Saccharomyces cerevisiae S288C: one gene and its partners. Changing the gene in region 3 together with the main gene of any one other region gives a genetic interaction. Each region holds a gene or a part of one and is shown on either strand. Other genes may lie near its edges.

Region 1 (4,856 bases), on a different chromosome or scaffold from region 3:
AATAGATTTATTACAGTGGAGGTATGTCAGTAAAGGCTTATTCTTCTAAAAGAGTGGACTGTCTTTGTTGCGTAACTGACGATTATAGTACTGTTGCCTTAATATATAACAGTGTATTTGGATAAGCAGAAGGAAAACACGATCATTGAACTTCAATTTTCTTTCCACTTAAATAGTCCCTCCTCAGATTCTTAATTTGTTTTCGGTGCAGCATATTTTGTTGTCAGTCCTTACACTTTAACATTTTGAGATCTAGTATCCAGCTTGTAAACAATAACATTCCCTAACTTTTATTCATCTTACCGCAGTAAATAGAAAAGACCTCACTTCGCAACCATTAATCCCCAAAAGAAAAAAAAAAATGTGACATTTCATAATGCATGTTTCGAGTGTGTTTTCGATTGTTTATTTGTCTGGCTTTTAGCTGCAATGGCCCAGACTGCTAGTTACCAGTTGCTGGTTTCCACGATTTTTTAACTTTTTCTCACAGCCGCATCGAAATGTAAATAAACGCGAGAAAAAAAAAGCTGAAAATGCTGGCTCTAACTAAGAGATGCGAGGCCCTTTTCGAATAGCTGGAACATTTATAATTTTCATCCTGCATACTGGTACATATCTGGTTACATATCTGTTTATATGACTGAAAATATCTACATAGATTCAGAAGCGTCCAAGGATGTTGACAACAAGTGCTGTCCAGCCTGTGAAATGCTCAGCACCAGTACCATGACCATCTATCGGACTGTAATTTTCATAACAATAACCTTGTTCTTCCCAAACTTTGTATATGTTGTTACTGAGATTAATCTTTAAACTTTGGTACAGTTTCTTGGCATTGCTAGCCTCACCAGCCACGTCGAGAATCACCTCTGGGTAGTAGTATCTCATTGCGTCAAGACACAAGTAATTAATATTCATCCAAATTGGGCCTCTCCAATAGTTTTCATCCTTGCCGAAATAGTCGTCTTGTCTCGATAGTGATAACAGCCCGTAGTCTGAAAAGATTTTTTCTGGGTCACTCATCAAAGCAACTACTTTCTCTAGCTTGGGTGAGTTTTTGGGGATTAGCTTCAATGCAAAGGGCAATACGGAGACGTAACCCTCATGACATACAAACTCCCTAATCTCATCGTCTTCTGGATCGATGCTAATATCACAGTAGCAATTGTCATTTTCACTCCAGTGTAACAAATCCAGATTCTCGACCACCTCTTGCTCAATTTGTGCATATCTTTGCTCGTCCTGTGTTAACTTCAACACGTGAGCAATTTGCTTCATGGATCTTGTCATAACGCCCACCCATGCTAATGCGTCTACGTTCAATTCTGCTACATCTGGTGGTTGTGCTCTAGGATAGTCATCCATACCGCTTGGCAAACAATGAGTGAAGGTACGCCCAACCCATCTATAAACTTCGTTCTTATGAATCTTATCCCATATTCCTTCATCTTCCAATATTTCCTCATATTCATCAATAAGTCCTGTTTGAGATTTTCTGAACCAATTATAGTGCTTCAATAGCTTAGGATAAATTTTCTTGGCATATTCGGTTAGCAAGCCAGGATTGGCTTCTAGATTGTTCGTCATAAACTTGGCTGTCCTACTATTGAACATGACTTGGTGGTAGCTGTCACTGTTGAAATCGCCGATGTTTTCAATGGCCCTAGAAAGCATTTCACTAAATGCTAGCAATAAAGTTGGCGGATTAGCAATATTGGGATTTTGCACCTGAAATTCCTGCGGAACTTTACTCCTTGCCTCATTACCCAGTATAATTTCTCTAGCAATCCAACCACTATCATCTTCGATCATTTCAAACCAGCTCGCTAAGATTTCAAAGGCAAGGTCAAAATCATACTCCATAATTTGTAGAAGATGGAAACCTTCATCCCAATAGAATCCACGTGGGAAAAAGCCACGGCTCGGAACGCTGGTAAACAGTTCAAATGGACCTTCCTCTTTTGCATTCAGCAGTTTGATCTCTGTAAACTGGCTCTCATCAAATTCTGTTTCACGATCAATTAGTTGATTCCCATAGAAATAACCGATTCCTCCTAATAGGTTTGATAGCGTCTCTAAAGCAAATCTTCTTTTGACCTCCACGCTTTCAATTGAGTCGGGACCTTCTCCAAAACTAAACTGCTTATCAAAACGCGCGTTTATCTCATTTAGTGACCAAGTAATCAACTCCGTAACTTGTTCCCTGGTGGAAATACTTTGAGTAGTGCCAAGTTTATTGTAAGTGATATCAAATTGGAACCCATCTTTTTTGGTCAAATCAAATGTCTTTTGTATATAATGAAAATTACCAGGATTAAAATTGTACAAATTTCTAATAGTTAAAACACTTGGTATTAAATCAGCAGGACGCTGCTTTGTCTCTTCCTTTTCCAGTATATCACGTATCGAATCGCTAACTAGAGATTGGAAAACATCACGAGCCTTCCAAACTTCTTTATCCGGGATTTGAAGTGATAAATGACTTGTTTTAGAGCAGTCACTTCCTGGTGCTACTTCCATGGTTTCATATTCCGGATTTTTGAAGTAGTGACCAAAATTGTCCTTTACTGTAAGATGATACTCGCCTAATTCTTTAGAATATCCGAAGAATTTCATGTCATTAGGGCCGTCATGACCTATCATTGCTAAGGAAGATTTTCCATCTATCTCGCCACCATTTTGACTAAAGTACAATACGACAGATGCTGTAGATGGTCTCTTGGGATCCAAAGGCTCACCTTGAACTCTCACTGACCAATTTTCCCCGTTCTTGCTCTTTACAAAATAAACAGTCAAGTTCAAGTTATTTTTTTCATCAATAAAAACTTCTTTACCACCAATTCTTGGATCATACACTTCCCAACCATACTTTTGCAATTTATCCTGAGGCGTTGCAAAATGTCTTAACGAATGTAAGCCATCCTGACTCAAACTGTTGAACCACATGATACCCATAATTAGTGGACTTTCATGGACATATCTGGGCCTCATACCAAAGTAACAATTGGATCTATACGGTGCCCACAGTAAAGATTCATTCGTGAACTTTTGATATTCTTCGAATTCTTGTAGTTTACTAATATCAACGGTGGCAGATGCCAGGAGAACTATGCTGGTTAGTATCCAAAATGTTTTAAACATCTTAGATTTTGAAATAAGCATTGTGAAGCAACCTGAACCGTTATTATCCACTACTTCCTTATTAACAGTTGACGCTAATATAGTGTGTCACGCATACAATAATTGAACTTTTAAATTACGCGAAAATGTGGCTGTTCTGACCGAAATGATCTAAAATTGGTCACGATACTAATCTTGAGCAAATTGAGAGGTAAAAGAGCTGAATATGCTAATGTATCCCGATCGTATATTATATTCGTCTATGTAGTTAAAAAGCTAAATAAAAGCGTTCCTTATCAGATATTACTCATTAGGCAGATGGGTCTTCTTCGAATCTCAAATCCCAACCTATCTTTGGACCTAATTTCGGCAAGACTTCAGCGACACTTTGGACATCTTTATCACCTCTACCAGAAATATTGATAACCAAATGTTGATCAGGCTTCATCGTCTTAGCCAATTCGCAAGCGCCATAAACAGCATGAGAAGATTCCAAAGCGGGAATAATACCTTCTAATTGAGATAATAATTTAAAGCCAAGCAGAGCCTGAGCGTCAGTAGCTGCAATGAATTGAGCACGGCCAGTAGATTTCCAATATGCCAATTCTGGACCGACACCTGGGTAGTCTAACCCAGCAGAAACAGAATGAGTATCATGGACTTGACCATCACTATCTTGCAAGACATAAGTCTTGACACCATGGAAGACACCAGGTCTACCGGCAGTTAGAGTAGCAGAGTGGAACTTTGTATCTACACCATCACCACCGGCTTCCACACCCAATAACTTAACGGAAGTATCATGCTCGAATGGTGAAAACATACCTGTAGAGTTGGAACCACCCCCAACACATGCAACAACTGCGTCAGGTAATTTACCATTGTTCATGGCAGCAAACTGTTCCTTGGTTTCTTTACCAATGACACTTTGGAAAGTTCTAACCAAAGTTGGATATGGGTGAGGACCAATGGCAGAACCGACGACGTAGTAAGTAGTTTTCAAGTTAGTAACCCAAAATCTGAATGCCTCTGAAGTAGCGTCTCTTAGAGTCTTTGTACCATTAGTAACAGCAATTACTTTAGCACCGAGAATTCTCATTCTGAAGACGTTTAAAGCTTGGCGACGAACATCTTCTGCACCCATGAACACAGTACAGGTTAAGCCAAATTTAGCACATGCAGTGGCAGTGGCAACACCGTGTTGACCAGCACCGGTTTCAGCAATAACGTTCTTCTTGCCTAATCTTTTAGCTAGAAGAACTTGTGCTAAAGCATTGTTGATCTTGTGAGATCCCGTGTGGTTAAGATCTTCTCTCTTCAACCAGATTTGAGCACCTTGACAATGCTCAGTTAATCTCTCAGCTTTGTGTAGTGAAGAAGGACGGCCAATATAAGAATACAAGGATTTGAAGTCTTCCCAGAATGTGGGATCGGCGACAGCTTCATCAAAACCCTTTTCCAACTCTCTTAGACATGCATGAAGAGCTTCTGGGACATACTGACCACCAAAGTCCCCAAATCTAATTGGGTGCTTGTGATTTTCATCAAATTCGTCCAGTATTTCCTTCTTAACGTTTGCGGACTTCAAGGACTCTTTTTGAAAGGCAAAGAATTCGTCCTTGGACAGAACCTTATGCTTAGCACCATTTAGAATTCCCTGTACATATTCCTTAGCAACGTCGTACCTTTTGCCCTCTGGAGCATCTCCACATAATGTGACGATTTTGGAACCAATC
Region 2 (3,852 bases), on a different chromosome or scaffold from region 3:
TCGTTCTTCAACAGAGAATGCCAGTGCAGCCATCGCCAAAATTCTTTATGCATACAATTCCAACATTCCTAACGTAGACACGTACACGGCTAATTGGTTCAAAACGTTACCAACAATAACTGACAAAGAAGCTGCCTCATTCAACTATCAATTTTTGAGTCAATTGATTGAAAATAATTCGCCAATTGTGTGTGCTCAATCTAATATCTCCGCTGTAGTTGATTCAGTCATACAAGCCTTGAATGAGAGAAGTTTGACCGAAAGGGAAGGCCAAACGGTGATAAGTTCAGTTAAAAAGTTGTTGGGATTTTTGCCTTCTAGTGATGCTATGGCAATTTTCAATAGATATCCAGCTGATATTATGGAGAAAGTACATAAATGGTTTGCATAAAGACGTTTAATAGAAAGAAGAACAATGTTAAGTAGTTCTATAAGGAATATTAAATGAATATTGTCTTTTTTGATGATTTAAAAACATATAATGTAACAATAGTGTTCTTTTTAATTTACCGGTGGTAATAGCGAATAGAATCTTATAAAACTTACATAGAAAAAAAATATATACTATACTTACAACTTTTCATTTTTTTCGTAAAAACTACCCCACAATGAAATAAGATACCATACCTTATCGAGTTATTATGTATGTGTCGAAGCTTTTTAAACCAAAGCAAAACCGACACCAGCGGCAATGGATAAGGAAATGATGGAGGTAAAGACCACTTGTGCTAAGTTAGCTTTAACGTTGGTGGCAGCATTCTTCTTGCTAGAAGATGAAGATGAAGCTGAAGAAGAAGAAGAAGAACTGGAAGAACCAGAAGAGCCGGAGTTAGACTTGGAAGAAGACCCCGAAGCGTTAGAAGAGGCAGTACTGGATTCAGTTCCGGAACCCAAATCAACACTACCTGATGCAGAGTTGGTACCCATACTACCAATCTCTTTCAAAGCGGAGGAGCAACTAGCTTGCGTGGTGGCAGTTTGTAGAGTGGCAGAACCGCTGAAGCTACAGTCAGATTTGCTACCACCACTCTTCTCGTAGTACAAATTCATAACGAAAGATAGCTGTTCCTTTGGTGTACAGAAAGAGTAAGCACCATACTTACCGGCGGTACCGTTTGCTGAAATACCGCTACAGTCGACTTCATTACAGATCCAGTTAAATAAGGTTTCGTAATCATCAGAATCAACGTCATCGGAAACAACACAACTATTGGCTGCATTCATACATGAACACAAGCCTCCGTTTGGAGTTGGTGGTAATTCTGTTGCAGCGGACCAGTACTTACCAGTAGCTGGACAAGCAACATCACTTGTTGTTGCACTGTAAGACTTTGTGTTGGCGGAAGTTGGTGATATTTTGTTGATTTCAGAAGAATAGTTGTTGAAGTCATCCAAAGTTTTAACATCATTACCATCGATGCTAACTAAACCGTATTTGTTAGTCTCTTCGAAGTACATGTATACGATACCACCAGACCAGACATCTGTCATATTAGAACCGTACAAGGCTTCAACCTCAGTAAATAGTCTTGGTGTTACTTCGTTACAACCGTATTCAGAGAAGAAAACAGGAATAGATAAGTTTTTGAATTCTGCAGTTCTATCAGCATAACCAGAAGTTTTGAAGTCAGATTTACCACACCATTCATACATATTAATACCGTAAAAATCAGCCTTAACATCATCATCACCACAAGCGAAATAATCAGTCATCTTAACTCTGGTATCTTCGTCATCATTGGAAGAGTAGCCAACTGGAATTTTTCTGTAGTTCTTGTCGCTGATGTATTGTCTGACGTCTCTAATAGCTGCCTTCACGAAAGCAGATGCATCTGTGTTGGTGTAATTGTTAGTAACTTCATTACCGGCGAAGAAACCCAAAACGTTGGTGTAATTAGCAAAAGTGTCAACAACGGTTTTGTAGCTGTTGAACAAGTCAACAGTCCAAGTTGGATCGTCTCTATTGATAGAGGTGGCTGGAGCTGCTAAATCAGCGATGACATAGATGTCAGCATCATTCAAAGCCTTCATACATTCGGAGTGATCTAGAGTGGTATTGATAGCGTAGACACGGATAACATTTGTGTTCAATTTTTTGAGGTATGGAATATCTCTGGAACAACTCTCATAATTGGCCAAAGGATCGTTGACAGTAGATCCGCTAGTTTCATTAGCGGTATCAGCCTGATAAGCAACACCTCTTATGTAGAACTGACTACCGTTGTTGGAGTAGAAAAACTTATTACCAACAACTTCAATCGCTGGAACATCGTCCGCAGTTGCGACGCCAGCAAAAAAAGCAGCAGCGGTTGCTAACTTTGAAAGGGATTTAAACAACATTGTTGAGATTTAGCTGTGTTTGTTGTTTTTGTTTTATCAGACTTTAAAAATAAAAACTGATTTTGAAATAGCTTAATAAAACGACACAACTATTTATGGATATCTAATTTGTTCGAGGAAAACAACCACGACTTTTCCTCTTAAATAAAAAAATCCGTGTCAACAGTAGTAGAGGGAAAAGTTTTTCAAACCTCGAGGATTATCGGGTATTTTACTAATAAACCGCGCAGGCTGTATGAGGAATACCAAAAGTAGAAATTTCTCATTATTTTCCCGACTTTTCTTTTTCCCATCTCCACGTTTGCGGCACGAAAACTCAGTGTAAAATAAGAAGCAAACAAAACGCGAGCCGCGAAAATATATCGAACTAAAAGTACGCAAAAGAATAGCCAGGGCTGGCCTGTGAATTCATAAAAAGTCTGAGCCGGCTATGATAGGCACCAGCTCGCTTTATCAGCTACTCAAAATAACTTTTTTTTTTTATCCCTATGCGACAGTCCTAAAGGTAGGTAAAGTTGGTGTTGTAGTCAGGATTGTCGATGGAGCATTTGGACCAGTATCGTTGTTGTTTTGGTTGTTAGGTTGGAAGATTCCTTCGAAAAGGGTGCCTTCCAGCAATTCTTGCGGACTAGATACGAAATCACCAGCAAAGAATGGCGCGATGAGCATAAAAAGGAGCACACCTAGCATCACAAAATATAGAGAGAAATATTTTGAAACTATCCTACTTCTTAATGCTCTCTGCTTTCGAGTCAAAATTCTTTTATGCGCGATAATACTTCTTGGATTCATCCAAAATAGCACCATTGTATGCCAGTAATCGATAAATGGTAACAATATTATGGGCGTTTGTATAAATAAGAGGAAGTGACCAAGAAAGAAATCTGCTGCAAAATAACTAGATTCCATAATCTTCACGAAGTATTCTCGTATGGGCTGTAAAATGATAGACCAGCCCATGCCCGTATTGTACCATTTACCATTCCACCATGCCAAATGTGCCTTATTGTTTTTATACTCCCTTGTCAAGAATATCGTCGTAAAGACCTTGAAAAGAATCAGATGCATATTGATGCACGTAATAAGCAGTATCAATGTACGGGTAAAGTTCCAACCTTGTAAGAACCACATCAGTTCGAAATCTAAAAGATAGACCAAAACCGAGAAAGTGTGTGCAATAAACGCAATCACGGCACCTGCGTCTTTACAACAATATGACAATCCAGGAACCACAAAAAGTGAAACCCAAAATAATAGAAAAAGCACTATTGAGTTAAGAAAGATTGGCAAAAAAGTTACGAGCAACAAACGGAAAACAGCGCTAGTTGGTGTTGAGTCAGAGACCCCTGTTTGTGCATTAATGAAAGAAAAAGCGGTGAAGTTGAAGAGGAACACACAGAAAGGTAGAAATAGTTCTGCAAAGAAGACGTTCCAAAACCTCGCTTTCTTTGAATCATGGCCTGAATCTTCGGAAATATCATCTACAGTTTTACTTTTATAGCCCGTAAATCT
Region 3 (4,005 bases):
CCTTGTCACCAAATATCTCTTTACCAAAAAGCGCGAAAATAGAAAGATAATTCGTCACGTATGGCAAAGGTTCAAAGCAATGATCACCCAAAGATCGAGAGGTTTCTATTCGTTCTTCGCCTTCCAACGCTGATGAAAATGGTGATACAGCGACTCTGTTTCTCTCATAGGGGCTGTATCCACCGTCGTTCCATGGTGAACTGGAAATTTCCATGCCTATGATTTAGTAATGCGACAATGGACCTGCCAATGAATCACAATCTTTACTATTCTATTCCGTCTTATCGGGGATGCTAGTTGTTCTATGTTCGCTTAATTACGGGTTTTTCTTGTTGCATGATTACTTACTGCATGAAAAAATAAGATTTAACATCGGGTAAGTATTATACATCATCATTTAATCATGATGATAATATTGATACTATAATGTTAACCATCTATAAAAGAGAAGCCGTTGTGGTGCAATTATTGAGACCATGTTATAAACTAACACTTGTCCACTATGTAAATACTACACAACAAAGAACCGACGTCGTCAAGAGCACGACGGCCGCAGTAAGCACAAATTTCAGAGGTTGCTCTAATATGCGATCTATAATGCGGTCAAATGGATTAGGGGATTCTCTTTCGTTATGGAAAGTTGTTTGTAGATTTCCTAGTCTGCTATTCATGAATTTGCGTTCTGTGGGGCCATCGGAGCCTCTAAACGCGCGGTCTCTCATCAGCCAAGTCTTATTCCCAATAATTTGCGCCTCTGTTACATTTTTACCAACATAAATGTTGCTTATCAACATGTTTGGAGATCCACTCCAAAACTCGAGGATCACACCACTGATAACGTTTTCGATGCGCAATGGGTGCTGCTCTTCGTAGTATAGCGGGTTTTCAATTTCCGGTGGATGCCATTCCCCCATGTAATTGGGATTTATGATTTCATTGAGTTCGCCTGGACCTTTGTACTTGGCATTATTTATCAGCCCTGGTATCTGCTGGCCACAACCACGTTCTGCAGTGCAAAGAGGATTTTTAATCATGGGCGGTATCCATTCCCCGTGCTCAAGTTCCTTCCACCACGAGGGCTTTTGAGCATTTGGGTCAAGAATGTATTCGGGGATGGAGCTGTTCCATTCTGGTGGTTCAGTGCCATCTGGATGTGGAATCATCAATGGGTCTCGTTCATCCCGATCACTGAGCTTCACCGCCTCAGGATCTGGGATTCGGATGCGATCATCCCAATCATGCGGTTTCGCTACTGAAACATCAGGAATCATTAAAGGCGGTGTAATGGGTGGCTCAAAATTGACCTTTTTCTTGTCTTCGATATGTTCTCTTACCATAACCGTCTTACCGTCTATAAGAATTTGAAAAGACTGCGCTGATTCATCTATTATGAGCGTATACAGATGAGATTGCGAGGTATCAGTTAATTTTGACAGGGGCATCTCTTGCAAATATCTTAGTTTAGATTCATGTGTGATCTTGTCAACCTTATTGATGGCAAATTGCACGCCATTTATTTCAGGAGCACAATAATCCGGACCAAAAACTAACTCGACACCCTCTGTATCGGGTGCATAGTGTTTTAATGCTTCAACATTCATGAAACCAGACATTAACTTAATAAACGCACCGCCGCACGTCAAAGAATTGTCCAACTTAATTTCGTACTGGACAACCAAGGTATCCGTTTCTGAAACATTAATAGGTGTCTCCAAGAGATGTCCTATCATAGCTGCGGCATTGCCTGTTCGAACTGCGATTCCTTTATCCCATGCGGATCCTTGCAATCGACCCTGTGATAGTCGCCATTGTGCACCATATATTTTAGAGCCTTCATTGTTGACGGCTTCACTTGTGATCCACTCTTGGTTTAAATGCTTTGTATTAGTGTAAGCCTGAAAATGCTCCCAGAAAGAATCTTCCGCTAATGTAACGTTGGATAGCAATGAAGTGCCTTTCACCAACGCTAGATTCAAAAACAGCCACCATAAATACGCAGAAAATTTCATAGTACTACTTTGTGTGGCCGTTATCTATATTAGAAATGCGTTGCCGTTCACTTTTTTACACAATCCTTAAACGACATGCATCACACGGTTTTCAGCTAACCCATAATAATTTTCTTTTTCTTAATCAACTTGATATTGAAAAAGTTGTAACTATTAATGAAGTTTTTCAATAATAGTATACATCCAGATATATAAAAAATAAAATAAAACTAAGCTAAAACCATGTTATCTAATGTACAAAGAATGAAAGAAGATAGAAAAAAGAAGAATGCGTACAAGAATCGTGTATTCCTAGGACCTTTCATATGAAAATTTTCTATTCTTCAACATCGTCTGGCAGGACACCGAATCTATTTGTAGGAGTCTTCTGCACTGTGTTATCCTCTGCTAAAGAGTCAAAAACTTCTGGGATCTCCTCATCTTCCTTTTCAGCATTACCTTCACTAGCACTTTTTGCCTGCACAGACAACCCTCCGTTCAAAAAAGCCAGCTCTTTTTTTATAGTCTCATTGGTGCTATCCCAGCCAGCCTTTCTTGTATTTTGAATGTACTTGGCACGAGAAATGGACTTGGCAATTTTACCGTCCAGACGATTGGTAAAATTCAAGGCCTTCACTAAACGATCCCTGTCCATGGATGAAATAGAGTTGGCCAGTTTGTCTTCCAGAGCCTTTTTATTTAACTTCTTGCCCCTCTTACTTTTATTGGCTTTCTTAGATATCTTTGCTTCCAGCAATGCCTCATTCTTGGCTGCTGTTCTAATCAAAATATTAGTCAAATCGGTTTTTTCAGCTCTAGGTAGTTCACTTAAATCCTTTACCTCTGGTTCAAGAGCATCCGATTGTCTAGCAGCTCTTGAATTCTTTGATATTTTCTTGGCCATGCTTTGTTTTAGACGATATCTTACCAGTATAGTCAAGGAAAAAACTACCTTTTGTCGTCTTTGTTCCCACATTCAATACTTCTAAAGGGTCCTTAACCAAAAAAATTTTCAGCTCATCGCCAAGTTGAATAAAGGAAAAAAAAAGAAGAAAAAAAAAAATAATATAGTCGCAGAAACTTACTTCTGTCTGTTTCATAACAACAAATATTATAAAAGAAAATACATAATCTTAGATACTACAAATGAGCCGCGAGGGGCCCCAAATATTATTTTGTCATTACTTCATTTCACCGTGATTGTTAGGCGTCAATAGAATCTTAACGTTGGATTCCTTGTGATCCATCAACTCTTGGAATCCCTTTTCCCAACCGTCCTCAATCCTTTGCTTACCAGTGATTAGTTGCTTACAATCTTCCATGGCGATGTCTCCGTTGTGGATGGCACGAACAACTTCTTCGAAGTCTTCGACAACATAGCCGATCGAACCAGTCATAACTTTCTCTTGGAGAGTCACATCCATTGGTTGGAATGGGACAGGTTTTGGACCCCAAACTGCAATGTTGGTGGCTGTCCCCTTGAATGTTAATGCCTTCAAAGAGGTTTCGAAAGTAACTTGAATACCAGAACAATCATAACTGTAATCAAACCCATCATGGCTCTTGGTCAAACCACGTAGTATCTCTATAGATTTATGACCGTGCTTGGAGGGATTGAACACCTCAACGCCCAGTTTCTTGGCCATTTCTATTCTTCTCTCTGCAATTTCAGACACTACAATTTTACTAGCCCCCATTCCCTTAAGTACCAAAATGGTACACAACCCAATGGGACCTGCACCAAGAACCAAGGCTGAACTGCCTTTTTTGAAACCAGAAATCTTAACAGCATGCCAGGTGACAGAAAGAGGCTCAACTAAAGCAGCCACATCTAGAGGAATTTCCTTTGGAACCGGGATAATGTGATGTTGAGAGACTACGACTTGTTCAGCAAAGCCACCACTGATCACACCTAGTCCTACAAAACCGGCGTGGGTACATAGATTTTCACTGCCCCTCTGACAAGCATCACATGGTTTGGAATTGTAAAATTTGGAGTGTGGCCAGCAATGCAGGT

What was found. Genes that interact genetically often act in the same process or in processes that back each other up.
Region 1: mutations in CNE1 (region 3) and CWH41 together harm fitness more than expected from each alone (negative genetic interaction), as found in Saccharomyces cerevisiae (5 studies listed by BioGRID, with this or other methods).
Region 2: mutations in CNE1 (region 3) and GAS1 together harm fitness more than expected from each alone (negative genetic interaction), as found in Saccharomyces cerevisiae (5 studies listed by BioGRID).

What each region holds. Positions count from the first base shown.
Region 1 is NC_001139.9:442,982-447,837, forward strand, and holds CWH41 (mannosyl-oligosaccharide glucosidase), read right to left. Parts: upstream 3,163-4,856; coding exon 661-3,162; downstream 1-660. Other genes in the region: tryptophan synthase TRP5, read right to left, coding at 3,431-4,856. UniProt on the Saccharomyces cerevisiae protein: Cleaves the distal alpha 1,2-linked glucose residue from the Glc(3)Man(9)GlcNAc(2) oligosaccharide precursor highly specifically. Seems to play a role in beta-1,6-glucan synthesis.
Region 2 is NC_001145.3:885,491-889,342, reverse strand, and holds GAS1 (1,3-beta-glucanosyltransferase GAS1), read right to left. Parts: upstream 2,341-3,852; coding exon 661-2,340; downstream 1-660. Other genes in the region: importin PSE1, read left to right, coding at 1-391; FKS3 (putative 1,3-beta-D-glucan synthase), read right to left, coding at 2,827-3,852.
Region 3 is NC_001133.9:35,468-39,472, reverse strand, and holds CNE1 (calnexin), read right to left. Parts: upstream 2,010-4,005; coding exon 501-2,009; downstream 1-500. Other genes in the region: GPB2 (Gpb2p), read right to left, coding at 1-214; ECM1 (Ecm1p), read right to left, coding at 2,326-2,964; BDH1 ((R,R)-butanediol dehydrogenase), read right to left, coding at 3,170-4,005. UniProt on the Saccharomyces cerevisiae protein: Interacts with newly synthesized monoglucosylated glycoproteins in the endoplasmic reticulum. It may act in assisting protein assembly and/or in the retention within the ER of unassembled protein subunits.